Linked DNA regions of Arabidopsis thaliana. The protein of the gene in region 1 interacts with the protein of each later gene in a pairwise test. Each region holds a gene or a part of one and is shown on either strand. Other genes may lie near its edges.

Region 1 (15,791 bases):
TTCTTGTGCACAAAAAGTGAAGAAATACTTATTCAACCATCAATTCATGAAAATGATAAAAAGAATATTTTTTAACTTGTTTTTCCAGTAGGAGGTTCGTTTATTTTATGTTCAATAAGTAATGAAACTCATCATAATTTTATATATACCAAATAATTACTGAACCGGTGACAAGCTATCCTAGACGGGATTTTGTTCCAGGTTGGATCAGGCAGGTCGGGTTTTAATACTGGTTCCACCTATAGGCCTTGTGGGAGTTTGGTTTGTGGTAAAGTATAAGCTAGGTCAGATCACTTACACAGGCATAGGTTTTGGGAAAAACAAAATCTTTAACAAAAGTAACAGGAAAAGAAACGCACCTTTGCAGATGTGGCAGCTTGCAGCTTCACTGTCATCAAAGAAAAACAGATACCATAAAATATAGTTAAAGATCATTACTCTGATATGTTATATAGGTCAAATGTCATGCTATTAGAAGCTAAGCAGAGTCCAACTGACAATAAAGGTTACTCAATATAGGATTGATGTTCTGATCAAGACAAGGACTTTTGAAGGTAAGAAGGGTTGTGATAGGTACATACCTCAAAGGCACAACTTTCTTACATTGCTCACACAAGGAGGATTCAGATCTTTCTGCCCTTTCAAATAGGTATGAGAATCCTTTTCCCTCTGAGGACCTTTTCCGTAATTTTCCTATCTCAGAGTGTCTGAAAGAGCCTCCTGGCTTGCTAGTTTTCCGTACAGCTTTTTTCTCTTCAAATCCTTTCACAAGATGTAAAGGCACATGTGATTCATTCAGCCAGAACCTTTTTCTTCCACTCGAGGATTCTTCAACCATGCAACCATTCTTCGACACAACATCCGGAATATTTCTCCTCTTACCAAAGTCAAGGAGATATTTCACAGTCTCTTCCTCCGTGCACTTCCTACGGACAATTGCTTTTTTGAATAGCCTGGCAGATTTTCTGGATTCTTTGTCTAATGTAGGAAGAAGATGACTGTTTTCAATATCATCCCACTTTATGTAAGATTGGAGTGTCCTAATCTGTGATCACAGAATTGTTAGCTGATAATCATCCAACACTGAGAAGACTATAGAAGACAGTGTTACAAGACAACATATTCAGTGTACAAAAACTGCAAAAGTCAGTAAAAATCCAAGTAACAGTATATGAAATGGATGGCACACTAAAAAATTTAACGAAACTGACACCATCAATATTCATGCGTAGACGAAATGAAAACAAAAATTCGTGTCACGACCTGTATTACCCATATACCCTTCGAAACTTCAACATTGATACTTTCTCACTCATACCAACGAGACGAGAATTACATTCAGTTTGACAAAGTTTATATTACCTGCAAACCGAGCTGCTCTGAAGTCGTAGATGACTCCACCGCTGCTTCCCAGGCAACACGTCGGCTTCTCTTAGCAGACTCTGAATTCTCCGGATAAAATATTCCTGGAATATTCATACTTCCACCTGCATAGTGTAGAGTGCATCGAGAATGAAACAACTAAATGGAACTATGGAAGTGATGGGAACGATAATTATTAAAGACGGTAGAAGAACAAACGCGAAAGCAAGAACAAAAGAGAAAATGTAAACCTTGTCTAGCAGCCTTCGAGATTAAAGCGCGAGGTAAAACCTTCCAATTGAATAACCGTCGTGAAAGTTGCCCGCCTCTCCACCAGCACATGGTCAATCCACCATTTTTCTTTGCAGTAGGGTTAACCCCAGAATCCAACAATGTCCCCCTTCTTTTACCAATAGCAGTCTTTGACCATGATCGTGTCGAAGCAATTAGAATATGTATAGCTGAGCCCATCACTACGGCAGCATCGACATGGCTTAGCCACTCAAGTGAAAGTACACGATGATGCAAATTTGCCTCTAGCTGCCCAAAGGTAATTAACAAAATCTTTCATTAGGAAAAGAAAATTGATGCACCCCTAGGTTAGTCACTAATGCATTACACACAGAAAAGTGCTCAAGAGTTGATATTGAAAGACTTTCGAAGATAGTTAACTCGTAAGCAATTGGAGAACCAACAAAACATTCAACATTCCTGGCCACACTAAAAGGTGAACAGAAATTGATTAATGCAAGCTTTTCAAGTAGGAAGAAAACGAACCAAAGCTAAAGTTCTACACAGCAGAGGATCATAACGAAAAAATTTGAATATGACATTTTCGACATGGGCAAGTTAGTGTGGTTGTTCAGAGATTGAGCTTTTGCCAATACAATGATTCAACTCACAAAACAATTCCACATGCCATTGCAAAATGAATGTTTTAGGAGGAAGAAACTTGTGAAAAACTTACATCAACCAATAAATGTTTCAAGCTTGAGATATTTGATGCCTTCAGAATGTGTTCACGCCAAAAGCTGGAGTGCTGTGGATTCAACCATGGACCAACCAAAAGTCCTTGTAGTCGACTTTCCAAGGAAAGAATCTGGCATATGATGGCCAGAAGATGACTGTTCTTCTCAAAGGATTGAATGTTAGCTACTTCACTTTCCGAAAGACCTCGTAAAGCCCCGAGACTCATATTAAACAAACAATTTATCTCAGTACCGGCATCCTCAGAAGAATTTTTGCAGGAATGACACCATCCACAATTTTCTTTCCATGCATCTAGGTAGAGACTTTGGATGTTTCGCCATTGAAATTTGGTGGTTTTCATCAATATAGTCCTCACCTGGGTAGAAGCTATTTCTTCATCAGATCTCATATCATTGGTACGGATTGGTGACTTACGTATCATCTCTTCATAAACTGATCTAGTCATCTGAGCAAATATGTATTGGTTTCTGTAGCCTGTTTCAGTCTGCACATTTGGTTTAGTTCCTTTCCGTGTGTTTATTTTAGCCAAATTTTGGGAATTCATATTTGGCTCTTTCATGATATCCAACATGCTTGATGATGCTGGCTCATGAAGTCTCTGGACATCTGAACCATTTTGTACAGTTTCAGCAGATCCTTCAGAACTCATATTAAGGATATCTAGCGCAGTAGCTGAATCTGATATCTTCCGGCGAGTCCTAGGACCATGATTATGTGACCATCCATTGCTGGTTGCTTTGTTCAGCTTTTTTTTAGCACCAGATGTTGACTGTTTCTCTGAAGCTGGTAGAGGAGCCCCAAACCCATCAATCGAAGGAATCATTCCTTTGACTGACTTATCCATGCATACAGACATTTGGGAATTCAGACCGCTGATTGTCCTTACTGGCCTAACAGGGATATCCAAGTGTTTTCTAATTGCACTTACTACGCCAGCATAGAAACTACTGCATGACTTTAGCTGCTCCAGCACAAGGTTCACATCAGTCACATGATAGTAGTTCAATGAGCCTGTGCCATCTGTATCTATCCTGCAAATTCATAGTGGACGACATCAACCAACCTACTAAAATGTATAACAGTTCCTACAATCAACATATGAAAGAAGTTCGTAGAAATAAATGATAAGAATATTCCACATCTGTATACATGGAGGGATAGTAAGGGTTACCATGTGCATCTAAATAACGAGCAAAAAAGGCTTTTCACAGATTTAAACATGCAATTCAACTTATTGGAAAATTTGACGGGAAGGACGCATAGTTTCACAGTTTTATCATGTTATCTGTACATTTTAGTTAATTCTGTGTAATTTAGTTAATCCTCAGCTAGCTAAAATTAGGGGGTAATGTTTTTAAACCTAAAACCAACATGTATATCCAATGCTCGTCAGACTACTGATTTAGACAAATTTTTTGCTAATATTCATATAAACATTTGTTTGTTTACTATGAAAAAACAATTATAGTGATCCATATCCACAATTTTGATTCCATTGAGATCATGCATTAACCATTCTTAGCTATGAGAATCGAAGAAAGAAACTTACACCAATAAGTAGCCACAACTGCTGTAGTATTTTCGACCATGCGGATCAATCTCTATAAACTCTGCGCCTCGAATTTGCTTATCAGGCTTCAATCCTGGTGCACGCCGATCAAATGCACATTCAGGACAGTACCAGTCCCCCTCAGGCAAAAGGTGACTGGCAAGACCGACACACTTAGAATGATATGCAGCCGGACAACCATCACAGCACAGTAAGCTCCCATCCATTTTACAGAAACAGCAGTCGTCACTGTTCCGGTCAAATGAAGTATCAATGACCTCGTTATTTAAAGAAAAATCATCAGCCAGCTCCATCATAGTTCGCTTTCTACGTCGCACTTCTGTGTTCGTCTTCCTATCAAGTTCCATTTCAAACTCAGCTGCAAAAGATCTTTTATTAAGCTCTGCCCTCACGACTTCAGCATCTGTCATATCATCGCACAAACGACTAAGTATCTCAATTTTCAGATTCACGGGTTGTCTGAAATAATCGTTTCTGAAAAAGTTCAGCCGAGTAAGATCCAATCCAGGGTTGTCTTTGGACCCAGAACATAGTAGGTATTCAACCACAAAAAGGGGATATGTAACCACATCCAACGTATCCCAATCAAGACTCCTGCATTCAAGATACCACCAGCAAAGCATCAGAACCAAAACAGGAGAAGCTTTATATCCATAAAACAGCAGTAAAACTAAAGTACTAAAGAAAGAAAAATAAAAAGTATACCTCAGACAAGCAGACGCAGATAGGTCACCTTCAGCAGCGAGTTGTTTCAAATGTTTTCTTAATATTTGCAAGACAGAAACATGGATGCTATCAAATAATAGACTAGGAGACATGCACCTCAATGCTTCCACAAAATCCTTCAGCTCAAAAGGACTCAAAAACAGCAAAGTACTGAAGGACCTCAGACAAGAGTAAGCAGTAAAGACATCAAGTACAGGAAGACCGTCTAAATCCAAAATAGGGGAGGATGGAGGTAATTGTGGCTTTGGCGGGAGTGCAGAAATATTATCAGCTTTTCCATCAACAATCCAAGTTTTCTCCTCTGTCAGACTACTAATTGAAGGAGAAGGGGATACTTCCTCAACAAAGCAAGCTGTTACAGTACTACTGACAGGCGATCGAGCTAACCTTCTACGAGCGCTTCTTCTCAACTGAGGTTCACTCATGAATTTTGGATTGTCAGAAGCTTTTCTTCTTTTCCTCCTACCACTTGTATATTCACCTGAATTTCCCCTATCAGAGAGAGTCTCATCAACAGTCTTAGCATCATGATGAGGTAGATCAGGATCCTTCTCAACCCCATTAGAATTAAGATTCTTGAGATCTTGCGGTGAAACAATGTTCTGCTTCTGTATCTCCTCCAAAAGCTCAGCGCTGGACACTTCAGCAACATGAACTTCTTTATATTCCCCAGTCTCAATATTATCCTGGGCACCATTTCCGTCCTGCATGTTGATTTCTTGAACAATGTCATTTCCATTCATTTGACTGTACTCCTCATCCTTGCTGTTCTCTACATCAACCTCCACGTTCAAATCAAATCCTACCTCCCTCTTCTGCCCACTGAAATCACAGATAGCAGCATTGTCCAAATCACAGCTCGCATCCATGTTCAGATCAATATCCCACTTCCGTTTGTCACTACAATTTTCTTCATAATCGATATTTACATTAACCAAACCTAGATTTTCATTCGAATTCCAATCCAACCCAGTAGTCAAATCAAATCCAGTTTCCGATTCCGACACCGTCCTATTCAAATCCGTGACAGAGGAGTCCCATGTCCTACCTAGGGTTTCCACAGGACCACAATTCAAATCAACATTCCCTCTCAAATTCTCCTCACTAACTCCCGAATTCTCCGCAACTCCATCATTTAAATCGACATTTACCTCATTCAACCCAGAGCTCTCTCGCTTGATCTCAACCACCCTCGCAACACGAGACCGTTTCTTCGGCTTCCTACCAACTCTCTTCTTCTTCACTGGAACCGAATTCTCCTGAGATTTACCATCTCCCATCACGAGAGCAACAACCTCATCCAATTCCGAAATCTCCGTAACACCGTTCTCATAAACGATCTCGAAAAATCCAGACGAATCGCGAGATCGAACCGTCCCGGAGCAAAACCCAATCCCTTGGATCTCCTTCCTAACGACTTTACCAACCAGCTCCATTGCTACAAAAGCTTGCTCTCGCTTCACGATACAAGCGAATCAAAGAAAACCCATAGCCAAAGTCTCTCTGGATTGCAAAAAAAAAAGGAGAAGCGCTGGGTTTTCACTTTATTCTAGAAACGCTTGCAACGTGCAAGGAGAGAGAGACAAGGACAGAGATTCTCTCTCTTCTTAATTCTCGGAAGCAAAGAAAAAAAAGTAGAAAGAGAATTCTTCTTCTACAGAGAAACGAAACGTCTTAACGAATTCTCTCAGTGATGATGAGAAGAAACAAAGACGGGTTGGTCAATGTTAGGAAGAGAAGGCCATCTCTCTCTCTCTCTCTCCCCCCTCCCACACTACTCTTTTTTTTTCACCTTTTTTTCTTATTTATGGTCAAAGGATGTGTGATATGTATATTGTGATATGTTTGCCTGTTTTTTTACCTTATTTATATGAATTGGTACTCTAACTAACAAGTTACAACTATGTCATTACATGTGTGATTGATTTCTTGATGTACAGTTTATTATTTTCCAAGTATTCAAATAATTTAATTTATATAAATATATAAGTAAAATAAATAAAAATTGGTAAATATTATTAACTAAAATGTTAAATTTGTTGATATAATTTATGTTATAATTAATGGATATTTTATGTTAATATATGTGTTGTATAATTTCAAAATATTATTCTAAGAAACACATTTGTATACAACTACAATAAAGATTTGACACATGGAAATGTTGTCCTAATTTTGTTTTTTCATCTTATTCTCTTTTTAGAGGTACATTTGTGCTAGTTTGTTCATGTTTGTCAATATTCGATAAATACTCTCTTTGTTAGTTTCGAAAGTATATATATCCACCAATCTTACTCTCGAATGTCATTCTCTAACCAATCTGCAATTTCTCCTAACTAAAAATTCCTAGTGGAGATAAAGCATGACGGAATGAATGCATGATGGACAAATTAGTATAAAAACTCATGAAGATTTGATGTTTTTGTTTTTGCTAAAAGGTAAATATCATTAATATGAAATAGAGTTTGGATTTATATTTTGATTATCAATACAATTCCTAGTAAAAAAAAGGTTTGAGAAAGAGAAATTAATATAACATACAAAAATTTATAAATTAGATAACTAACCAAAAAAAAAAATTATATGATATTGTGAGTATAATATATATCAATACATTTTTATCCTTTTAAAAACCATCACTATTACCACTTTTGGCCACCACCACCTCCGGCCACCACCTTCGTCCACGACAACGTCCAGTCACCACCACCGTTCACCACCACGTCCGGCCACCATCACCTCCGGCCACTATTTCCGACCACCACAACCTTCGGCTACCACCACTTCCAGCCATAACCACCTCCGGCCACCACAAATTCCGGCCACTACCCTCGGCCACCATCATTCTCAATCACAACCACTTCCGGCCACCACCATCTCTGACCACCACCACCTCCGGCCACCACCGCGTCCAGTCACTATCACCTCCACCAAAACCAATTTGGTCAATAATTACCCTTTATAGTTAGTTACTACATTTTTAAAATTATAGTGTTAGTTTGTTAATTATTTTATCAAATGTTTGTTTTGCAATTCACTCTGTCAATTTTTTTTTTTTTTTTGTTAAACCAATATTATCTTTATAAAGAAAACATTAATATGATAATAAATTAATAACAATATCCACCTAAAATTCTAAATTAATTTAAAAAATCTCTAAATTTACGCAAAAATTTTATTGCCGTCAAATTTCTGGACTGGTCTTCGTCAAAGAAAAATAGCTGAGCACAAGGGGAGGATCATCGTCAAAGCCAACGAGAAGAATACTCTGAAATATCTTGAAGCTGCGACAGGAAAAATGGACGCGGCGATAGGGAAGGTTTTCGATTCCGTCTCAGACTTCTTCTCCGGCGCTGCTTCTGCTTCCGCCGATGAGTTTCCCTTGTGCGATTCCGACATCATCTCCGTAAGTTTTATGATTCACCACCTTTTATGTTCCTCAACTTGACACGCACAGGAACCTCGAATCACAAATTTCCAATTGTTTTAATATCTCCTTCATCGGATTTTGGATTCTCTTGCGTTGCTTGTCCTTGTAAAGAATTTTTTTGTGTTTGGCCTGAATTTTGGCATGCATACATAATTTTGTAAGGAATTGACATCGTTCTCAGGGATGTGAGAAAGAACTTGCAGAGGCTCAAGACGAAGGACGTAAGAAGGAATGCATTATGCGTCTTTCATGGGCTCTTGTTCATTCAAAGATGCCTTCGGATATTCAGCGTGGGATTGCAATGCTTGAAGGTAATAGCTTATGTTCACACTTTCTATGGAATCTTCAGCTGCCTATTGTTCTTCCAAAAGGTGGATGCTTTGATCCATATGACTGGTTTGATCTTAGCAAAGTGTTTTGCTTTGTTTTCGCAGCTTTGGTGGTTAATGATACAAGTGCAATGAAACTTAGGGAGAAGCTATATCTCCTTGCTCTTGGTTACTATCGAAGCGGTGACTTTTCAAGAAGCCGGGATTGTATAGAACGGTGTTTGGAGGTTTGATCATCTGTTCCATGGATAACTCCTGAATATCTTATTGTTGATGTATTCTACAATGCCTTCTTTTTCTTTCTGTGGTTTTAGGTTGAACCGGAGTCCGGACAGGCTCAGGCACTCAAAAAGGCTATAGAGGACCGTATTGTGAAAGGTACTATTGTGTCAACTGTCCACACATCGTCCATTAGAATCTTCAGCTGCTTTTTCTTAACTCTCTTTTGATTTTTGAAATCAGATGGTGTGATTGGCGTTGGAATTGCTGTTACTGCTGTAGGGGTTGTTGCTGGTATTGCTGCAGCCATATTACGCAGCTAAGGAGGAAAGAACCCATACATGTACATGTTTCCCTTATTTTCAGTGAGTCTGTTTAGTTTCTTTGTGTCCTTCAAAGAATGTCTTTATTAAGGAAAATTATGTAATTCCTGTTTTACTATGAAAAGCTAAACAACAGAACTGATTGAGGAAGCATCAAACAGAAAACTTTATTATTACTTCAGCGTTAAATATAGTTTTATTCCATACTAGAAAATTAGAAGAGATGCAACTGTTTTAAGGTGTTAAGTTGAGGATGAACTCTAAAGTTGTTTTCCATGTCCTAGCAAAGCTAGAAGAAAGGCCTTGTAGTCCCCTGATGTCTCTTTTGCTATAGCTTGATCGAGACTCACATTGTTCCTCTTAAAGTACAGCCCAGTTATATTCGTCAGGTCCTTTTCTGCTCGTGTGACAATCACACGGTTCAGAGCATCTTCATCAGTCCCCACCGTGTTGATTGAATTGCGCAAAACCTACGTGCATTAGGGATTAACCATATGAATACCAGTTAGTTTTATTGGGATAATTTAGAGAACACATCTAAACAATATTGTTGCATCCTACCTTTGCATAATACCGGGTAGGGTTTTTGATGCACCTGATGGCTGCACGTAGTGCACTCAGGTACTCATTTGTAGGGTGATTGAGGAGATCCTGGTCATCAAATGTTTCATTAAGGACAGCAAAAAGAACATTGTCATGAAGAAAAACTGGTATGACTGCTGTATTGTTGTCTAGAAATTTCCAATTGATTGCTTTGTCACAGATCAGTTATAACATAACTTGATGTTCATTTTTTTGTTTGTATACCTTAGTGATCGATGTGCCATATATATCCTTGTAGCGGTTGAAGATTGCGCTAAGCTGCATGCTGCTCCTTGTACTTAACACCCTGATCGTTTCTTCGTGATCAACAGCCTTACCAAGGATTTCATCATGAAGAATCGCAGCCTCTGATTGCGCCAGCATCTCATCAATTTCTTCTCCATCATATTTATAAGCAGACACCATTGCAACCAAGAGCTGTATATATCAAGAAACGCCCAAGCGTTGAAGATCAGTCAAAACTAGAAGAAACTATCTGGAAATTTAAAATTACTTACTCTCCTGATGTCGCCAATAGTACGGGAGGCCAAGTCTTCCTCAAGAGAATGCTTGTAGAGGCAACGGTAAGCACGTCTAGCAGCTAACATATCTTCAGGGGATCTCATGCAGGCAATTTCGACAAGAACCTTGTAGTCAGGAATAGGCTTTTGAAGAGCCAAGTTAGCCAAGAGAGCATCTCTCTCTGGAGGATCCAAGACCCACAAGCAAATAGCTCTCTGCAGGTAACAAATATATTTATCTTTTGTGGATTATTGAAATAGAGTAGAGTAGAGCACATGGAGGAGATATATAAAATCTAAACCTCAAAATTGCCAGAGAGCTCAGATTTGAGCTGGTGAATGAGATCCTCATGGTAAATCTCCTGGTAAGCTTGTCTTATGAGCTTCCTCTGGAACAAATTCCGGTGTCCTAAGATCGAGATGATGGCATTTTCATTGGTTCCCCATCCTAAAACGCCAAATAGAAATAAAGAAGAGGAGTAAAGGAGATAGCAAGAAACTTGATGAACCACATAAGTTTTGAAACACTAATCCAAAGAAAAGTAGAACCTTGACAAGCCGCCTTGATGTTTTCAGCGTCTTCGACAGGGGAGAAATGTGGAGGAGAAACAATGGTGGCCATTTTGTTTTTTCTGTTTCTGCGTAAGATATCTTTGACTCAGATTAATCACTTGTTGGATATTGCTTCCATTGCTTTGAGCACTCTTAATTTATAAGAGTTGGTAATGATGTTACAATGCTTTGAAGAGACCAGAAAATGTTTCAAACGGCTCATTGATTGTTTTTGCTCTATGTTAATCTGAAACTCTCTCTGTTAACGCCACCCCTTTATGTATATGACTTTGCCGTTATTTTTTCAGGAATTAAGTTTTCATAAGGAATATTATTGCATCCCATAACACAAAAGCTAACTGTAAACACGAACACAAATATTTTTGCCTTAGAAAAAAATTAACAAATTAACAGTTGATCAAATTCGTTAACCGGCCGGTTTAGGAAAAAAAAACTCGTATAAAATAAAATTAACAGCTCATCAGGAGGGAGCTCATAGTTGTGAAAAGTCCGCCATTGAAGACCGTCTCTCTTTTCTCCGTCTTTTTCTCCCTGCAGTTACCGGATTCCTCCGGCTAGATCTCTCCGTTCATCGCCGGTAAGTTGCTCCATATTACATTTTTCCTTTCCCGTGTGCGCGATTGGTCATCTATAGGTTCTAAATTTTGTTGCATTCGGCGGAGTAAACAGCGATTACCGGTGATGACTTAACTTAGAAGATTTACGCTAGTGTAGTATCATTGAAGAATCCAGAATCATACGCATCTCTTTCTGCTATTTATTGAATGTTTCATATATGATCTGTCAGACTTGATTCTTCAATTCTTTGAATTTTCCATTTTATCAGATGACAGAAGGAATCAGAGCAAGAGGACCCAGATCATCCTCTGTTAACTCTGTTCCTCTGATTCTTGACATTGAAGACTTTAAGGTGAGGTTTTCAGTTGCTTATGTTTTTTCACTTTTGAATCATAAGGGATATTGATTTTTTTTTTTTTGTCACTGACAGGGTGATTTTTCATTTGATGCATTATTTGGGAACCTGGTAAACGACCTCTTGCCGTCTTTCCTAGACGAAGAAGCAGATTCTGGGGATGGCCATGGCAACATTGCTGGAGTTGATGGTTTGACAAATGGGCATTTACGTGGACAGTCTGCTCCTTTGTCCTCTGCTCCTTTTTTTCCTGAAGTAGATGGTCTTTTGTCTCTGTTCAAAGATGCTTGCAAGGAGTTAGTTGATCTTCGGAAGCAGGTGAGTGTCTTGCGTCTACATCGATGACTAGCCCTTGTTTTATCTTTTCATCGTTCCGATATCTGAGGTTTTTGTTAATTATTTTGGAAGGTTGATGGAAGGCTCAATACACTAAAGAAGGAAGTTTCAACCCAAGATTCTAAACACCGGAAGACACTGACTGAGGTTGGCAGACTAATACTATTAGTTTGATTAAATTCCTTGGGTACATGGATCACTACCTGATGAATAACTGACACCCCGATCATTTCTTCAAATGGTAATTGAATTCTCTTTCTAGATAGAGAAGGGTGTGGACGGTCTGTTTGAGAGCTTTGCAAGGTTGGACGGTCGTATTTCAAGTGTTGGACAGACCGCTGCAAAAATAGGAGATCATTTGCAGGTAAAATTTACCTTGCTTATAACCAACTATCTGGTGGTCTATCCAATATTAACCCATGCTTCCTTTGTCAGAGTGCAGATGCTCAGCGGGAAACTGCTAGCCAGACGATAGATCTTATAAAGGTAAGTGTGCATCTATGTTGCAAGGTTGGTCACATATTTAGTTAGATGAATGCTTAAAGTAATCCTTGTTCAACAAATGCAGTACCTAATGGAGTTCAACGGCAGCCCAGGGGATCTTATGGAGCTTTCCGCTTTGTTTTCTGATGATAGCCGCGTAGCTGAGGCTGCTTCTATCGCTCAGAAATTACGTATGATGTGATAGCTTTATGTTACTTGAAATTTGTCTGGAGTGTTAGAACAACTTTTTATCTATCATTTGTTAACAACTAAGAATTTAACTCTCCAACAACGAAACTTTACTAAAACCAAAAAGAAACAATGAAAATTTACAGTTAAATTAGGCTGCAATTGATTTCCATGCTCTCCTTGTCGATATCAGGATCCTTTGCTGAGGAAGACATTGGAAGGCAAGGTGCGAGTGCAGCTGCAGGAAATGCTACCCCTGGCCGAGGACTGGAAGTTGCAGTTGCTAATCTTCAGGATTACTGTAATGGTAAACTAATTCGTTTATACTGTGTTTTCTGTATATTTACTGAAGAGGATTATTGTATGTTCAACTTTTTCTTTGTGACATTTGAGTATGATGCTGTAGAATTGGAGAACAGGCTTTTATCTCGTTTTGATGCTGCATCACAGCGGAGAGATTTATCAACCATGTCAGAATGCGCTAAGATTTTGTCACAGGTGAATGCTTTATTCTGCAGCATGCCCCTTTACAATTCAGTAGGAAAACCTGTTCTTTTATCTAAGATCCGAGCGAAGGCCTTCCTTACGTATCGAGTGATTACATCCTGGTTAATTCTACATAAAGCTGTCACAGAAGGAATGGATGTCTAGTTCTCCTCTTGTACATATGGTTCTTGATACTTAGTATTTTTTCTTCTTGATTTTCAGTTTAACAGGGGTACAAGTGCTATGCAACATTATGTGGCTACACGTCCAATGTTTATTGATGTGGAAGTCATGAATTCAGACATTAGGTTGGTTCTTGGTGACCATGGTTCTCAGCCTAGTCCTAGCAATGTTGCCCGTGGACTTTCTGCTTTATTCAAGGAAATTACAGGTTTGAAGGTCATTGATCTGGATGCAATACTTGAAACATGCTTCTATGCTGATTCATATATTTTGTTACTTCTTATGTGTAGACACCGTACGCAAAGAAGCAGCGACCATTACAGCTGTTTTCCCGACTCCAAATGAAGTTATGGCGATCTTAGTTCAGGTAACTGGCACCGATAATTTGGACACTGTAGTGTTAACCCGGCATATGGATAAGCTATACCAACTCTTCGTGTATTTTACGCAGAGAGTTCTGGAGCAGCGTGTCACAGGTATTCTAGACAAAATTTTGGCGAAGCCCTCTCTTATGAGTCCACCACCTGTGCAAGAAGGCGGACTGTTACTAGTGTGTAGATACCTCTTTATCTCTTTCTTTTGCTATCTTCGTAGTAGGATTGGTATAAGAAAGTTAACTCTTAATTTTTGTCTTTAGTACCTTAGAATGTTAGCAGTTGCATATGAGAGAACACAAGAACTTGCTAAAGACCTCCGAGCTGTTGGATGTGGTGACCTGGATGTTGAAGGTCGTTTTTTTTAATGATAGAAGTTTTGTTTTGTCATGCAAACTTTCGTTGGTGCTGACAACTCTATATTTTGACTGTGCAGATTTGACAGAGTCCTTGTTTTCCTCGCACAAGGATGAATACCCTGAGCATGAGCGGGCCTCCTTAAAACAACTATATCAAGCAAAGGTTTGATATGGTTATTTCAATTTTCTGATTGAAATTAGTTGTTATGTTGTTCATTAATGTGAAGTGCTTAGATTTGAGGTTTTCTCTACAGATGGAAGAATTGCGTGCTGAGAGTCAGCAAGTCTCAGAGTCATCTGGGACAATAGGACGCTCTAAGGGTGCTTCAATATCATCATCTCTGCAGCAGATATCAGTCACCGTTGTCACAGATTTTGTTCGATGGAATGAAGAAGCAATAACCAGATGCACATTGTTTTCATCTCAGGTTACTGAACTTAGCAATTTATGAGAAACTTTTCCAAAATAAGTTAGTTGCTGTGAATTTTGAGAAAAGATGTCGGAATAGGATATTGACAAAGAAATAATCTAAAATATTGATTTTGGCTGAATTATCTAACAGTAAGTAAACTTTAATATCTGGGATTGCATATCTGATATTTATAATTATTTTTTTGTGCAGCCAGCCACACTTGCAGCCAATGTTAAAGCTATATTTACTTGCCTGCTAGACCAGGTATGCTGTTCATGAGATTCTAGAGTCATTCATATTAATAGAGCTGATGCAATGATGAGTTCTTGCAGGTGAGCGTATACATAACTGAGGGACTTGAACGGGCAAGGGATAGCCTGTCTGAAGCTGCAGCATTGAGGGAGAGATTTGTTTTGGGCAGAAGAGTAGCTGCTGCAGCTGCTTCTGCTGTAATTCCTTCTCTTTTCTATTTCTCACTATTTGAAATGCTATTGTTATGTGGAGTTAATTATAGTTTCTTTGATTGTTTCTCAGGCAGAAGCTGCTGCTGCTGCTGGTGAAAGTAGCTTTAAATCCTTCATGGTTGCTGTGCAACGTTGCGGTAGCAGTGTTGCTATAGTTCAGCAGGCATGTTGGATTACTTTTATGGTTATCAGTTCGTTTCAATTATTTCATCTGAGAAGGCTTCTCCTACTCAACTATTAAAGTATTCAAATAGTTTGACCCAATCTTCTACAATGAAAATTCTATAATCATCTAATTTTCTTTTCCAGTATTTTGCAAATTCTATATCTCGGCTTCTCCTACCAGTGGATGGTGCACATGCTGCTTCATGTGAAGAAATGTCAACTGCTCTGTCCAAAGCAGAGGCAGCTGCTTATAAAGGACTTCAGCAGTGCATTGAAACTGTGATGGCTGAGGTTAGTTCTTTTTTGTGTACATTACAAACAGAGCCATGAGGTTCAACCCTGAACAGGTTTAGGAGTCATGCTTAATATTTTCTTTCCCCTCATTTTAAGGACTCTAATATGGTCTTTTTCAGGTTGATAGGCTACTTTCATCTGAGCAGAAGTCTACTGATTATAGATCAACTGATGATGGAATTGCTTCTGACCACCGTCCAACAAATGCCTGCATAAGGTTAAAGGCTTCACCTTTTTTTTTTTTTAGTTTGATAAGCCAGAAGTGCTTATCTGTAGTTATACTTAGTAGATTTCTGAACCATTTTACAAAATATCTATTGATCACGTCTCAACACTGTGCTATTCTTTTATCTGATTTTTTCTCTTGTTTAGGGTCGTGGCTTATCTTTCCCGGGTACTTGAGTCTGCTTTCACTGCCTTGGAAGGTCTTAATAAGCAAGCCTTCCTGACTGAACTGGTATGATTTCTTTCTCACCACAGATTTCGTTAAGCCTTTTGGTTACTATT
Region 2 (15,321 bases), 3.8 Mb from region 1:
ACCCTGTTAATCACAGATTGAGCGAGCGGATTATCCGACCCGATTCTGTTCTTAAACATGCATCAAAGTGGCAACATGCTGATATTCTAATCTTCAACACCTACTTATGGTGGAGACAAGACTCTGTCAAGCTCCGGTAATTATATATAGACATCATTTTATTCATCTTCAAAACCAAAAATTAACAATTGGTACTCATTGCATATTCGAACTAAAGATGGAGCAGTGAAGAAAAAGGGTCATGCGAGGAGGTGAAGAGCGCCGAGGGAATGGAGATGGCAATGGATAGTTGGGGTGATTGGGTTGCTAACAATGTCGATCCAAACAAAAAGCGAGTTTTCTTCGTTACAATGTCTCCTACACATCAATGGTAACAAAAATACTTATCCCCTGTTCTCCATCAATATGATTGATTCTACTCTCTTTATTATTTTCGCATTAAAACCGAGCTGTTGTAACTGGTCAGGAGCCGAGAATGGAACCCGGGAAGCGAAGGAAACTGCTACGGGGAGAAGAAACCAATAGAGGAAGAGAGTTATTGGGGAAGTGGGTCGGACATTCCGACAATGAGGATGGTGAAGAGAGTTTTGGAGAGATTGGGACCAAAGGTCTCAGTTATAAACATCACTCAGTTGTCTGAGTATCGAAAAGATGGTCATCCATCGGTGTACCGGAAATTCTGGGAACCTCTAAATGAAGACCGGTTGAAAAACCCGGCATCGTATTCTGACTGTACTCATTGGTGTGTACCTGGAGTTCCTGATGTCTGGAATCAATTGCTTTTCCATTTTTTGTGAAAATGAAATGAATATAACCTTACCTTGATGGCCGAATATCACCCATAAATTATATAACGGGGTGATTTTAGCTAGCTATAAGGATCCAAATTTGTTACATCCCTTGCCTATAGTCAGGCGTCATGAGCTTAACTTAGCAAAATGTAAAGATTTTTTATTTTGTACGAAATTGATGTAGCAAAATGGGCTTTAATAGATACAATCAGCAGAGGGCTAGATTTATAAACAAAAACTTAAGAGAAATGGTGTTGTGAAAAAAAAAAAAAAAAGAGAAGAGGTGGTGTATGATTTATCTTCAGCATGAAGGTGATTTACAAGCACCGATTATAAATAGGACTCTTTGCCGAAGTTCATGGATGACCTGAAAATTGAGCAAACCAAGAAGGCTTAATACAATAGAACAATCTTTTTGAACCGAATACTTATAGAAAGAGGAAGTCGACGAGAACGAACGGATTTGGAAGAATAGAGCTTAGCCCATGTTTGGATATGGGCACTGCGGGTTTTAAGGTGAGAAGAGTAGGCAGCTTCTGCGTTTATGAAGTAGACTGAGTTCTCTGTTGTCTCAGCAACCCACATTTCGTTTGTCGCATCCTTTGCTCTTTTAATTAGATTGCAAAATCCGACCTGCCAAAAATTAAGCCCACAAAGCATATATTTTTCAAACAATAATTTCTCGGTGCATATTCTCTCAGTGTAAAACTAGACAAATATTAGAATTTGTACATACCACGGATCCAACCAAATTATGGCTGATGTGGGAAACAGAGCTATCATCCATGAATGGGGTGCTGAAGCTTATAGCAAGAAGACTGTTTGAGATTTCCCCTGAATGTTGTGTGGATCCATCTGTCACAAACACCCACTGCTTCTTTTGTAGAACATCTGTGTATGCATCTCCAACATATACAACGTACGCAGCGATATCAAATTCACTGAAGGACATAATTAGAGATGATAGAGTATAGATTAGCAAAGTGCGGTAAATAGTGTTTTATAAAAAGCTTGGACTACTGAGATTAACCTTGACAGAGGAATTTCACCAAGATTTGACAAAGAGATTGGTTTACGAGGGTTGAAAAAAGGCCTGAAAACATCATCAGGGAAATTGAACAAATTAATGAGATAGATTCCAGTGTCTACTAAAGAAAACCACTTACTGAAAATTTTCAGAATCTTTTGGAGACAAAGGCTGCCATCTTGAGCTTGACCCTCTGGCATGTAAGTAAAGTGTTTCTGAATCTGAGTTCATTGGTACTAGCCCTTTCATTATGTATATTTTCCCCTCCGTCAGCTCGGTTCTCTGTCACAGTAGTAGACAATGATAACTGTTTTAAGAATCTACAAGAAAAAAGTTGAACAAGCTAATCGATGATGCTCTTAATGCAACAGTACAGTGATGGTAACGATTTTTTGATATGCATTTCAGTCCATTCGAGGTCCACAGCAACTCTGACGAGCTTATATTTGGAACTCCCCGTTCCATATAAGCTCATATGGATAAGGTTCGTGTAAACTTATAAGCCATTAGAAAAATGCCTTCTTTTAAATTGTGCATGAAACATTCAGATTTAGGCATTTGAATGTACCTGTCTCTCCGTGGGATCCCAGATTGTTACAATGCCTTCTTTTGGATTGTGCTCTCCTTCATTACTTAAGCTCGTCAGGCCAACAAGCCTAATCCTCATGAATGGGGTGACGTTCCTTTCACCTAAACCAGCGTCTTCCAGAGCTTTTGCCACTGATTTTTCCATCTGCATTTGCTTGGCTGCCTGAGGTTCAGATTGAAGCAGTTAATTACTGTAATCAATATATCAAGAAAAGGGAATTACTATTCTACCTCAAATTTTGCTTTATATGTAGTGAAAGATGTCAACTGCTCTAGGCTCATTTCAGCCATAAGAAGTTCAGGTTCAGCAGCCGTCTCTAACAGCTTAAAGACCTTGGCTCCTTCTTCGCTGTCAGTATCGTTTTGGCTGTGAACACCATTAATTCCTCTCTGGTACTCACACATAATACCCTCAACAAGAGCTGAGCGCCTACGGAAAATAGAAAAAGAAAGAAAGAAAAGTACGAATGAGAATAAACCATGAGGAACTGCAATCTTTGGCTCTTCTGTTGGCAAAACCATCCATATTCAGAAGGCCAGAAGCTTTTCTAATAAATACAAAGATTCTTTGTCTGTCCCAAAAACTACTTAGAACCCTAATATTGGTGTATGTAACAAATGTCTCTAGCTTTGATGAGTTAATCTGACACTTCTTAGAAAGTGATGTGCTAAATTGATCACATAAATGTTACTAAAAATTGCTACTCTACAGTTATAAGGAAACTTGCCTCTGATTATGCAGCTGTATAATTCTACTTTCTATTCTCTCTGATCGAACTATTGACTTCTTTTCACCTAACCTGTATACATCAAGAAAATATAATGCTTTGCGAGAAGTATAAGGAAGACCAAAGTGCATTAACAGGCACACATTTATATTGACCTTTCCTTGTATAGGATGGGGTATATTCGTGTGATGCCAGCTAGCGTTTTAGGCACTGGACCCCCATTGCACTTGATACAGTTGAAAGCCAGAGGGACACCAATTTCTTTACCTTGAGGAAGAGATTAAGAACGATCAATAGAAAGATAATAATATGAAAGCAATAAGAACTCAGATGATGTAGTGAGGTCCACAGCATAAAGCTACTTACAGAAGCCTAGTCGGTCCGCCCAGTGAGCTCTGTATGTCCCATTAATATTCAACAACAAACAGATTGTACTTGAAATCACTGCCTGAAAGTTTGGTTGAACGAAACTCTAAGAACAAACCAACCTGAGAAGATATCAGAAAATCTTATAAAATGCAAAGTCTAGGAAACCTCAAGTGGTGATGTTGGGGTAGCCCAGCCAGAAAGTCCTGCCCCGAGGATCTTCAGATAAGAGATAAGAACGTAAGCATGCTGCAAGTCAGTGATCTAACCAAAATCTGTGTTGCAAAACAAAGTATATCTTGCATGAATATAACTTACTCGAAGCTTCTGCCCCACAAACAATTTGCCAGCATTCAGCTGCTTGGTTAGCACGACATCCAGAGCAGCATTCATCGAGTACCTGTGATTTAAAAAAAAATCCTATGGAAATGAGACAAGAAAACAGGTAACAGAACAGCAGTAGCAATTTCATACCACCCATCAGTGAGTTCGACTTTCACATTGCTGCAATTATCAGAACAATGTGCTTCCTGAGAACCATTATCGGTCCTTGGATTAATAGCTGATATGCAGAGGACCATCATTGAAGAAGCTGGAGCATCACCACTCAGAATCCTCTTGATTGCAGAGCAATGACCATGATTGACCTCTCTCTCATATCTATTAAGAAGATTAACCATGTTAGACTTTGCATGAGTTTAAGTAACGAGTTGTGTTGTGAGACTGGGAAACCTGTATTTTAGTTCCTCAAGAACATTGGTGATTGTTAGAAAGTTTCCTCTGCATTTGGCTGGGTAGTATATGTCGTAGCATGCAAGTTTCCAGACTATCCACCTGTAGTGATTAGTAACCCACCTAGTGCATATGTAGTGATAGATAAGTTAATAGATATAGACATCAAACTGTCTATCTAATAGAGTGACAATCACATGCAAGCTTCAAACGAACAGTCACACACTTTTTCTGATATAATAAACATATAACACGGTTAACATTTCAAGGGACAGAGAAAGTACTTTCTGGATGCATGTTGTAAGGAAGCACCCGACTCAGCCAACATTTGAAGAAAAGTTTCAGCTCCAACCTTGTTTGAAGAAGACTCATCACAGAATACATATTTATCTGCATTACTTGATTTGATTCTTCTGACATGGTCTGGCACATAATCCATCTAAAACCACCTCGTAAATGTGTTTGAGTGAATGAAGAAAAAATTTATGTAACGCAGGAACAGGTGAAAGGGACAAAAAGATTTTACCCTGGTCGTAGCTGTCGGATGCATTCCAAAAAACTCCTTGATATATACTCTTGGAGACTTTTCTGGATATCTTGTAGAAAGTACCTTTTTGGAAGTAAGTGTATCACACGATACAACAGACAAACCTGATAATAGACAGGACACCAAAATTATAAATCTGAGAACCAACCAATTAGATTAACAAAAAATTAAAATTAAAATTAATCGTATATATTACCACTTGAAGCTTGCTGAGCATTTTTCTTTAAAGGAGTTTTAAAGGATGAAATCCTTGGCCTTTTGAAAGGAGAAACGGAGACTGTCTTTCCCAGCCTTTTCTTTTGGGTACTGTCTTGTTTATTGTTTGCATAAGCTGTATCTCTGCGATTTGTTATATCAACAAGTGGCTGATCAGCAGGCCTTCCAAGTTGCCTAGCTCTTGGAATGAAACCGTTTCCCTTGGAATTATTCACTGCCATATCTGATGCTAAAGGCCTGTTATTTGATAGTCCATGTGTAGCAGGTTTACTGATATTCAGAGCACAATTGGTCTCATCAACAGCCGTATCAAATTTCTTGATCAAATTACCCCCTGAAGCTAGGTTCTCCAAGTTAACTGATCTAAATTGCTTTGAAGATGAATGAAGAGGAGATACAAAACTATTTGACGTATGTTTGTTGCTTGTCTTTTCTTCATGAGCAATATAACCTGTGTTGACACTTCCATTGTTTATAGCAATATCACTTAGCCTTTCATCTTTCTGTGGTGTAAAAAATTGATCACCTCCAGCTACATCATCAAAGAAAGACCCTAACTCAGGGTCACCAAGAAGGTTTCTGGCACGTTTCAACGCCTCAGCTGACACTGACAATGATTTTCCACCAGCAGTCTGAAACTTTGTTGGAGGCACCTTTAACGATGGATTTAAGATTTCAGATCTCTTCCCAGATACATAATTCTCATATTGTCCTGGAGTTCCTGAATGATGCTTAACCACTGTAGCATCAAACTCCTCATGAGTTTTTAAACCGGACCACCCATGTTGCTGGAGGGAAGAAGACGACTGGTTCACATGGTTAAATCCATTCAAATCATCTTCTTCTAGTCCTAACAATGCCTTGGCTCTTGCTAAACCGGCAGAAGATACATTAACCTTTTTGTTGGAAGCTGTCTGAAAAAGACTGTTGGGAACACCAAACCCACTCTCCCTGGGAAGAACGTTGTCTACACAATCAAAAAGAATCTTATTAACAAATAAACTATGAAAAAATGTCACTTCTAATATTTATTCTCTAAACGAAGTAAGATGTGTGTTGATTAGTTCTTCACTATTCATCGTTTTATCTGATAACAACCAAACTCAAGAAACCTGGAAGTTGAACGGAGTAGCAGCACAAACAACAAGTTCATATGTAAATGCGCACACAGCTGGATATAAGACTTAAAAAAAGAGGAGATAAGAACACACCTGAGTCAATTATCATATCACTTCCTAGAATAGACAAAGGTTTGGCAATTGAAGACTCTTTCAAAGGGACAGTTTTCCCCAAGGCCGTCCTGAACATTGGCATAGTTTCAGCTGTATCCACTTGTCTCGTTTGGGGAATTGAGCAATTTGTGTTCTGCAAATCTAAAAGTGTAGCCAAGAACATGGAACATTCAAAAGATTTTCAGGAACACATATTCACCAACATTAAGTAACAATTCAAGCGAATTCAGAAACAAATGACTAGTCAAGGGAATTCAATACTGTCACATAAAATACCTGAATAAGCAACATTCTCTGCTAAAATGGATTTGGCTTTAGCAATCGAAGACTCTTTAAGAACTACAGACTTCCCCAGCCCAGTCCTGAACATTGGGATTTCCCCAGGCATCGATTCTTCCCGTTCTATAAGCTTCGAGCATCCTTGAAGCATCAAATAATAATTCAATCTCCTTTGAGTCACATGACAAACACGATTCGACAAAGAAAAGGAAGATACGAAGAATCACCTTGGAGCAAGAGATCGGCCATGGAAGGTAGAGGAGCTGTCGATTCGAGCGCCTTGGTTGGCGTAGAATCCGAGACGGACTGAAGAATCCGGCCAGCGACTTCCCACCGGAAACCATCGCCGCTGGAATCGGAAAATAAATGCCACGTCGACATTTATTCAGTTCTAGGGTTTCCAAGTTTTCCGATTCGTCGTTATATGATTCAGCCGGAGAACTAAACCTCGCGATTCAGAATTGCCTACCACGCCAAGAGGGAGGAGTCGGGAGTGCGGAATTTTTATTTTTATTGTTTTATTTTCTTTCCCCAAACCAAAATCATCACCAAAAATCCAAAAAGTTAAAAGTTCTGACAAAGGCGGGAAAGTTGAAAAAGATTTGGGCCGAAATTATGAGACGCGTGGTTTTATTTTAACTTTGGGCTTGGTTTTTACGGACATAGCGTTCCAAGACAAGTGTGATATTGCCACGGCCTTTTATTGCGGTAACTAACGGCACGAATGCTAACCCGAAATCGTTCCAAACAATAATTGCTTACGTGGACATTTTAAAACATCTGTTCAATGTGATTGGTGACTGACTTCAATGAAAATTACATTGCAACAATGGTCAAGTATCACAGAAAATTACATTGCAACAATCTCCACCTTCAAATCTCTAAACACGCCAGATTCTGAGAACTATAATTTACACGGGGGAAGCCGCTGAGGAGGCAGAGGGTGCTACAGAGGGGATCGCGGGAACACCGATGAATGAGAGGAATCCGGAGGCGGCATGATCTTGTTCGTCGAGGAAGAGATCATCGGGAGCTCTAAAGGCGCCATGGACACAGATTGTTGCTATTCCGATCATGAGAGCGGATATCAATACAGATCCGACGCTTGTGAAGAAGATCACTGCGATCGTGGAGAGGATTAGGCCACCGAGAGTTTCGTATTCGGAGAAAGATCGGCCGAAGAGGATAAGAGGACGATCTGATGGACGGAAGAGGTAGAGGAAGAGCCAGGAAGCGGCGAGACATAGGAGGAGGATGAGAGAGAATGGGTGGGCGAGAAGAGAGAAACCAAGGATCAGAGCGACAATGCAAACGTAATTCACCCTGAAATAAGAGGAATTTTTCCGGAATCGCGTCCCGGCCTCGGAGAGAGAGTCAGGCTTTGTGAAAGCGGATCGATCGAGGAGCTCTGACCACGGACGGCTACGAGATAGACCACCACAGACCGTCTCGGTCACACCGTTGACAAATGCACGGACGACTGGAGGTTGCGATTCCACCACAGCGGTTACAATCGGAGGCTGATTGGTGGTGTCTGTTGCGGTGGTGGAAATTGGAAGAACAGGGGGATTTGTTGACACCATTCGATTTTGTTCTTTTGGGATTTTGAGATTGGAAAATTTTAGGAGACGAATGATTTAGAGGTTGCTGAAGTTGCGGTAGTGTTATGTATATATAGGATCACAATTACGCGTCTTTCAACTTTGATTATACACCTTGCTTCATCTGATAGCTAATCTATATTCATTTGCTAAAATAAAAATAAAAATAACCTCCTGATATTATAACTCAGGTTATTTTTTTGCTTAACGTAGTTTATACAATAATTCTTGATTACTTAGGCAAAGTGCATTTGACCATTAATGTTCCAGTCACAGGAAGTTTCCCTAATAGAAAATATTTTTAACACAATGTTGATCTGTCATATGGAGTAGTAGACTTGACAATGTCAAATCCTTTTTTCTTTGATAACATTCATCTTCGAATTCTAAACATAATTATATCTAACGAGTAGACAAAGACTAAATAACCATTGTTTACCCTGATAGTAAGTTGTAGCATCATATATAGCATAAATGTTATTTCTTAATGCAACTCCATCAAACCTTAGATATGTTTACAATACGAAGTAGTTCAAAGTTACTTGATCGATGAGAGTAGATCATACATTTCAAGACAATCACACTAATCACCTACCACGGAATTAAAGAGTCGCCCCGTTCCAACCAAAGAAGGATCCCTGCAAGAAGAACCACACGAGAAAAGAAATGTATAATTGATATATCAGGTGGTTATAGGCATAAACACTCCAGATGATGGATGACCCTCTAAGCCAGTTAGACAACGGATTTAGAGAAGTTGAACGAATCTCCTAAATAACTCAACAGTGTGGGTGTAAAGATTGAATTCGAGTAGTGGAACGGTTTATGCATTTGATTTAATTGTTTATAATGCCTAGTTTATGAGTAAAAGTTATAGGTCCGTCTTATGATGATGAACTTACACACATAAGATGTATTTGTTCCCTATTCATGACCTAGTAGTGCTGGTGTAAAGCGTGTAAACATTGTGCATATTCTTGACTTTGATGGTCCTAGAGAGACAACGAACAATGAAAATGAGACATGGACGCATATCGGGCATATGAAATCATTAACACATTTGCATATGTTATGTCACTACATCAAAAAAGTTATCAGAGAGAGGGAATTGCTTGCCTTGGTGTCATAAAACTTGAGGAAGAATCGAGACTTGGGCACCGATAGCTTAGTCTCAAGAATGGCGGAAACAGCAGCGCTTAGCTTCTTGTTCACATCCGCATTAAGGCCACCGATAGAAACTAATTCACCATAAGCTGCAGGATCCTCGGTCCCGCCAAATGACATAGGCACTGAGCCTTTCAAGACAATCATCACATACTGCAAATTACCACAATGAACAATGCAATCAGATAATGATCTAAGAAACAACATTACAGGACAAAAATATTTAAACATCACTAACATAAACAAGCAATCGTCAAAGCAGACCAATATTGTTTTTGAAAACAAACTTCAGCAATGAGAAATTCAAGGGCCAGGAATGGCCTAGAAATCGTGGTAAAATAAAAAAGAAGAACCCCAACGAAGATTGTACAAATAAGTCAAGAGAAGACTCCGGAAATGTGAACCACTAGAATAGAACGGAGCAACGAGATAAAATTGCTTAGGGTTTCTATATCATGCATGTGAAGAAAACAACACTCGAATCGCTGTTATTCAATAAGGAGAAGAAAATGATTAAGAGATAAAGACGCACACAAGGCAAATCTCAGGAGAAAACGAAGAATCGAAACAAAATTCGAACAGAACGAAACGAACTAGAGGTTAAATCGAGAGAGAAAAAGGGATTACGTTCTCAGGCTTGCCGATGATTTTCGCGACGGTGGAGGAAGCTTCCGAGAGAATGGAAGATGTATCGACGCCGTCAAGGTTAACGTTGGTGGAGAGGTTGAGGCACGGCATTTTCTTCTTCTTCTTCGTCTCTATCACTCGACGCCAATTTTTTTTAGTCAAGCGGATAAAGAGAGTAAGACCACCCAGGAATTTTCCCCTTTTATCCTTAAACCTTTTTTATTCGCTTAGGCCCAAGCCCATCGTTTTTACGTTTGCATTCTCGTTTCGAAGATTCTTTCAAACGCTCTGATGAAGTGATTTTGGATTATTTTGTTTAGAAATGGGCCTTAATCTAGTTATAAAAGCCCGCTCAAATTTGAGTGCCCAGGAACGTTTATAAAATAGATCTCTCGACCTAGACCCGAACGCACCTAATTGGTTAGATGTTTTTTTGTACTTTTTTATAGCAAATCGATATTTCCATTTTGCTTCTACTTCATAGAGGGAAACTCTTTCCCCAAAATCAAAACTCCTAAAGGCTTATCTCTGTCTCTCATGACTTGGCCACCAAAAAAACAACAGCTTCAAAGTTTCCCCATTTACAAAGCCACCGCAGATAGAAAGCAACGCCTACCGATCGAGGAAGAAGGCACGTTTTTCCACCCTTCACCTTCCTTAAAACACTCAACCTGCAAACACACACATGATCAAAGATTAAACCGTGTCTGCTTATGTAAATTGTTTTAATTTCATTTCAAGTTCAGAACTGATCCTACAGTGTCTAATATGTCATCCTCTTCCCCTTTGTATCCTCCGATCACATATATTGAGTCTTTAACCACTGCCACTGCTGAATATCCTCTTAAATCCTTCATTGGTTCTCCCGTCATCCATGTCCCTGTCCTTGGCTCATATATCTCAACACTCGATACCATTGTCTCACCATCAAACCCACCAATCGCATATCTGCAATAGTGCATATGAATACAACCTTAAAACTCTTACCCAAAATTTGTCTGTTAGTTACTCTCAAAGAAGAAGAAAAATGGGGAGAAGAAACTTACAGTTTTTCATTCAGAACAACAAGAGAATGGCAGCCTCTTCTCGACTTCATCGATGCAATATTCATCCAGGAGTGCTCTCTAGGATCAAACCTTTCAGCTGTGCTGTTAAAAGTAAGTTTCCAATAAATTGTTCTTGTTAGCTTCACATGTGTCAAGATTAGGGGAAAAAATAGAACACAAGGCTTAAATGTTCTTACTTCAGGTACTCTTTACCATCATAACCACCGACAGCATAAATTGAACTTTTATGCTCCACGGACGCAACTGCAAATCTCTGAGATCAAAGAGCAGTGACAACTCAGAGAATAAAGCCGAGGAGAAGGTCATGGTATCATCTTGCTAAGGCTTATAACCAGTAGGTGAGTGGAAGCATAAACTACATTTCTATTGTTAACCTGACACTCCTTACTTGAAATTATAACTTAGCGAAATAGAGTAGTTTTAACAATGGATTCTCTTTGGGAATTTATGTTTTTAGCTGTGAGCTTCTGTCAAAAATTTCCCAGTGGGGATCTAATTGACAACTTTTCAGATTTTTGGCTTTCACCATATGTCATGCGAATAGAGAAGAACGTTTACCTCCTGCCCCATTGACCTTGTTCTGATCCATCTCCCTATATCTGGATCAAGCATCTCAACATCTGAAAAAGATACCATCCCATTCCCACCTCCGATTGCAAATATTTTTCCATCCAAAGTGGCTCCACCTAAACTTCCTTTTCGCTCGTTTAAGGGGGGGCACAAGCTCCACTGGCCATCAGTCTGGTTAAAGGATTCAGCTTCACAGAAAAAAGAAGAGGCAAAACAGAAATCAAAGATCAGGCTTAAATAATTATGGTTAGAGAGAAAAAGAAGTGTGAAGTGGTAGACATTAACTTAAAATATGCACAGCCGAAGTGAAGTGCACTAAATTAATACACCTCACTTCACAATTTGCTAAAAATACTAGAGCCATTTGGTTTAGTAATATAATGAAAGTCACAGTAGTATGCTTTTGCCACCCATATTCCGTTTTCTAGTTCTTTTAGTTGTCTGTTAAGAATATCTGGAAGGTTTATAGGTTTATATATGTATTGTATACAGGCTCTAATGCACTAAATAGTTAACTCATTTTAAGAACAAGAGAAAAAGAGAGGCCGTACCTGAGTTGGTCCAGCCACGGCCACCGTCATCACCTCCAAAGACGTAAATTTTACCATCCAACTTTGCCACTGATGCATTTGAACGGATACAGCTCATTGAACTATGAGCCTTTACAACATTCCTGGATGGAAAATATGACTGCACTGATGACAACCATGTTTCAGAGTCTTTATCAAATCCCCCTAAAAGAAGAATTGCCTCAGTTGGATCTAAGCTGGTATCATCTGGTGAATGGATCTCCAAATCACTGCCACCAGCTTTGGTGATTAAAGGACCTGATATGGACTCCAGCATGTTGCAACGCTCTGTCAATTGATAAATTTCCTTGTGTGCTTTGTCCTGAAATACCAAATATCGAAAAGTAAAAGTGTTATGGTTTCTCCACCACTATATTTTGAGCTTATTGGTTCCAAAAACAAGGGAAAATGATACCGAGATGAACCCCTAGCTGAAAATGATAGAGGATCATTATCACTGATATAATGAATATCTGTGTGGGTGTGGTCATATTACACATGCAAACAGAATTCCAGCAGGAAGAATGAAAATCAAAATAGCAATAAACAAAATCTTACCAGCTTCTCTTCCAAGTAACATATCTTGGTTGAATTTTCCAGCCCGCATGCCCTGAGTTCCTTCACCTCATGCATCAACTGCAAAATATTTAGCCAATATGATCCCATTGATTTTGATACACCCAAGAGACATGATAATCTTCCGAGAAGGAATTACAAGTCTCAATTAACTATAGATCATAGTCTTTGGAAGAGAAGCAAGCTGACATGGAACAGTTTCTTCTTAACTATTCCTGCAATATTATAGCTAATACACAGAGTTCTACACAGTTAATAATTGACAGCTCAGATGGGTATAAGTAGAAGGGGGGAACAGACGTGAGGTTGCCTAAAACTTCGATATTTTGGCTGAGAAAATTGGGGGTTCTGTTTGTCGTTCGTTCTGAGAAGAAATAAAGGGGAAAGTGTTGACTCTAACAGATTTACACATAGACTTGTATAGGAAGTAACAGTTAAAGTATTAGAAATGGAGACCTAGTTTGAATAAATACCAACCATGTGTAGATACCAACGTACCTGGCTTATTGTATGTGGAAGAGGAGAGGATACAAGACAACTGCCATCTATTTTCCCCTCTGAACATGTTTCCTCTTCAAGTGTATCTCTGTCTTCCAAGTTCTTGCAGGTGGGAATGTTGGCTTGTTCAACAGTTTCAGTTAGACTGTTGTCTCCATGCTCATCATGACTAAAGACGAGATCCTTCAGTTTCTCAAGAACATGATCCTTATCTATTTGTTTGGGGTTCTGTACGTCTGGATGGTTCTCAGAGAAACCAGGATGAGAAGCAGCAGCAGAGGAGTCAGATTCTCCGCCAGAACTGAGTGACACTTCCAAGCTACCCACTGGTTCATTCTCAGAAGGCTTAACCTCATCACTGTTCTCTTTCTTTTCACTTGATGAAATCAAGCGAAAGATCTGTCTTGTGTTTGGTGTATTCATGGGTGGTTTAGGTTTCACAGCAAAAGATGTTAGCAGACATGTCAACTTCCTTGTTTGGAAATGATCAAGCTCAAACCAAAAATGGTGAGAACTGTAGTAATTATCTGCAATTGCAGGTTTGAATTTTTCCTCGGAAAGTGGTTCACACTGTAACCTAACACTGATTGGAACCTGCGAAACCGTAAAAGACCACTGCTTATTTCATGAAATTTATACTGCTTATGGAAAAGGTTGGCAAGGGATAATGCCTCCTGAAAACCATATGTAATCCAATGAACTCATAGAAACACATATTCATGAAAGTGATCAAATGTCACTCTGGTACCTGTGCAGGATATGAGGTTCTCTCAGAACCATCAGAGGTCCAGCCATAAGGGTCAAAATTGAGCTGACCACAACCAGCAGCCTCAAAAATGCCATGAAGTGTACGATCAGAATAGTTGAAAAGAAACAATGGCAAACCAATATCAATCTTCTGCACGTATGGATAGTGGTTAGAGGGTAAACCTGTCAAAACCATCAGCGGATTCAAGAAGCATATACATACAAACATTGCGAAATAGAGTTTAGAAACAAAAAAATGCAACAGCATACGACAATGAGCAAGCAAAGAATCAAAGTAGACAGCAAACAAACAGCTACATTCAGCAGAAGCAAAAACAAGCATGGGAAAAGAATAAGCTATTCAAGAAGACTCACCAAACAACTGTTTCGACATACATTCTTTGATGGTATTCTTAGTGCAGCCAAAGACAACACCACCTAGTTGACTTTTCGTCAGGTTTCTGAAGGAAAACTTTCCCCTCCTTTGAGCCATCCTGACATTGATTGGGTAAAAGGAAAGAATATCAAAGGATTTACAGTGTAACAACAAATCCAGTCCTTCCAATGATTGAAACGGGTCTTATTGCTCAAGCATGTAATCAAGACAGACACAGTCTCCAGATTTTTCGTACGGTTTTACTAACTAGACAACAGAAGGATGAAAACCTTCAAACACATGGTGTGCATTATTAAGACACTCAAGAGGTAGCTTATGAGGCAGCCATTGATGTGAAATTACAAAATCACGAAGAAATTCACATGATGAAATACGAAACACAAATGTATACAATTTTCAGTCAGCTAACGAACAAGGCCATATAACTTAACACACAAAAACCCAACCAGGAGCGAAATCAACAAACAGATAATTCTGAAACAAAAGCGCAGAGCAGAGTTTCCAAATCAGTAAACAACGAAATTCCAACCTTACATCTCAACTCCTCGTGAAATCGAAACACGATAAGAACCATGCGATGACAAAACCCTAGGAAAATAAGCAAAAGGCAACGACTGAAACCTAAATGCTCACTTAAACTGGAATCGGAGCTTGATCAACAGAGAAGTTGAGTGAGAGCGGTGAAAAATCGAAGAAGACGAGGTCTCAGAGAGAAAGAGAGAGAGAGGGAGAAGAAGCTTAGGCCATCATGACTGATGGCAATGCAAAAGACGATGACAAAGCCGGAGGAGCGACGGAAACTGAGCGACGGAATTTTTAGAGCCTTTTAAGCTGCAAATTTTAAATATACCTTCTTCTTCTTCTTTTTTTTCAATTTCTTCTGCTTTCTAATATACAACTTTCTCCTTTTTACTTTTTCTACGGTAAATTTTGAAAGAAATTAGACATTAGTCAAACTGTTTACAAGTATTTCCTTCTGCGGAAAAATAGACATCGATG

The links.
Region 2: the proteins of FIS1B (region 1) and PRA1.B5 interact in a two-hybrid assay, tested with the Arabidopsis thaliana proteins (one large-scale study listed by BioGRID).

What each region holds. Positions count from the first base shown.
Region 1 is NC_003076.8:4,004,106-4,019,896, reverse strand, and holds FIS1B (Tetratricopeptide repeat (TPR)-like superfamily protein), read left to right. Parts: upstream 1-7,762; 5' UTR 7,763-7,946; coding exon 7,947-8,054; intron 8,055-8,055; exon of another isoform or gene 8,056-8,259; coding exon 8,260-8,389; intron 8,390-8,512; coding exon 8,513-8,634; intron 8,635-8,721; coding exon 8,722-8,785; intron 8,786-8,869; coding exon 8,870-8,949; 3' UTR 8,950-9,209; coding exon of another isoform or gene 9,210-9,419; 3' UTR 9,420-9,454; downstream 9,455-15,791. Other genes in the region: AT5G12400 (PHD-finger and DNA binding domain-containing protein), read right to left, coding at 360-388, 582-1,045, 1,363-1,487, 1,614-1,902, 2,330-3,383, 3,902-4,516, 4,628-6,084; ANNAT8 (annexin 8), read right to left, coding at 9,210-9,419, 9,511-9,600, 9,757-9,969, 10,050-10,268, 10,355-10,500, 10,602-10,674; exocyst complex component sec10, read left to right, coding at 11,452-11,535, 11,614-11,856, 11,947-12,021, 12,137-12,238, 12,310-12,360, 12,443-12,548, 12,740-12,853, 12,953-13,044 and 12 more. UniProt on the Arabidopsis thaliana protein: Component of the peroxisomal and mitochondrial division machineries. Plays a role in promoting the fission of mitochondria and peroxisomes.
Region 2 is NC_003076.8:234,025-249,345, forward strand, and holds PRA1.B5 (prenylated RAB acceptor 1.B5), read right to left. Parts: upstream 8,299-15,321; 5' UTR 8,090-8,298; coding exon 7,418-8,089; 3' UTR 7,188-7,417; downstream 1-7,187. Other genes in the region: TBL35 (TRICHOME BIREFRINGENCE-LIKE 35), read left to right, coding at 1-136, 218-370, 467-797; BRCA2B (BRCA2-like B), read right to left, coding at 1,093-1,158, 1,251-1,424, 1,528-1,732, 1,822-1,884, 1,958-2,100, 2,387-2,569, 2,638-2,836, 3,135-3,206 and 12 more; AT5G01650 (Tautomerase/MIF superfamily protein), read right to left, coding at 9,043-9,099, 9,224-9,424, 9,899-10,009; AT5G01660 (influenza virus NS1A-binding protein), read right to left, coding at 10,480-10,569, 10,657-10,846, 10,945-11,046, 11,142-11,218, 11,524-11,723, 12,087-12,426, 12,663-12,740, 13,179-13,772 and 2 more. UniProt on the Arabidopsis thaliana protein: May be involved in both secretory and endocytic intracellular trafficking in the endosomal/prevacuolar compartments.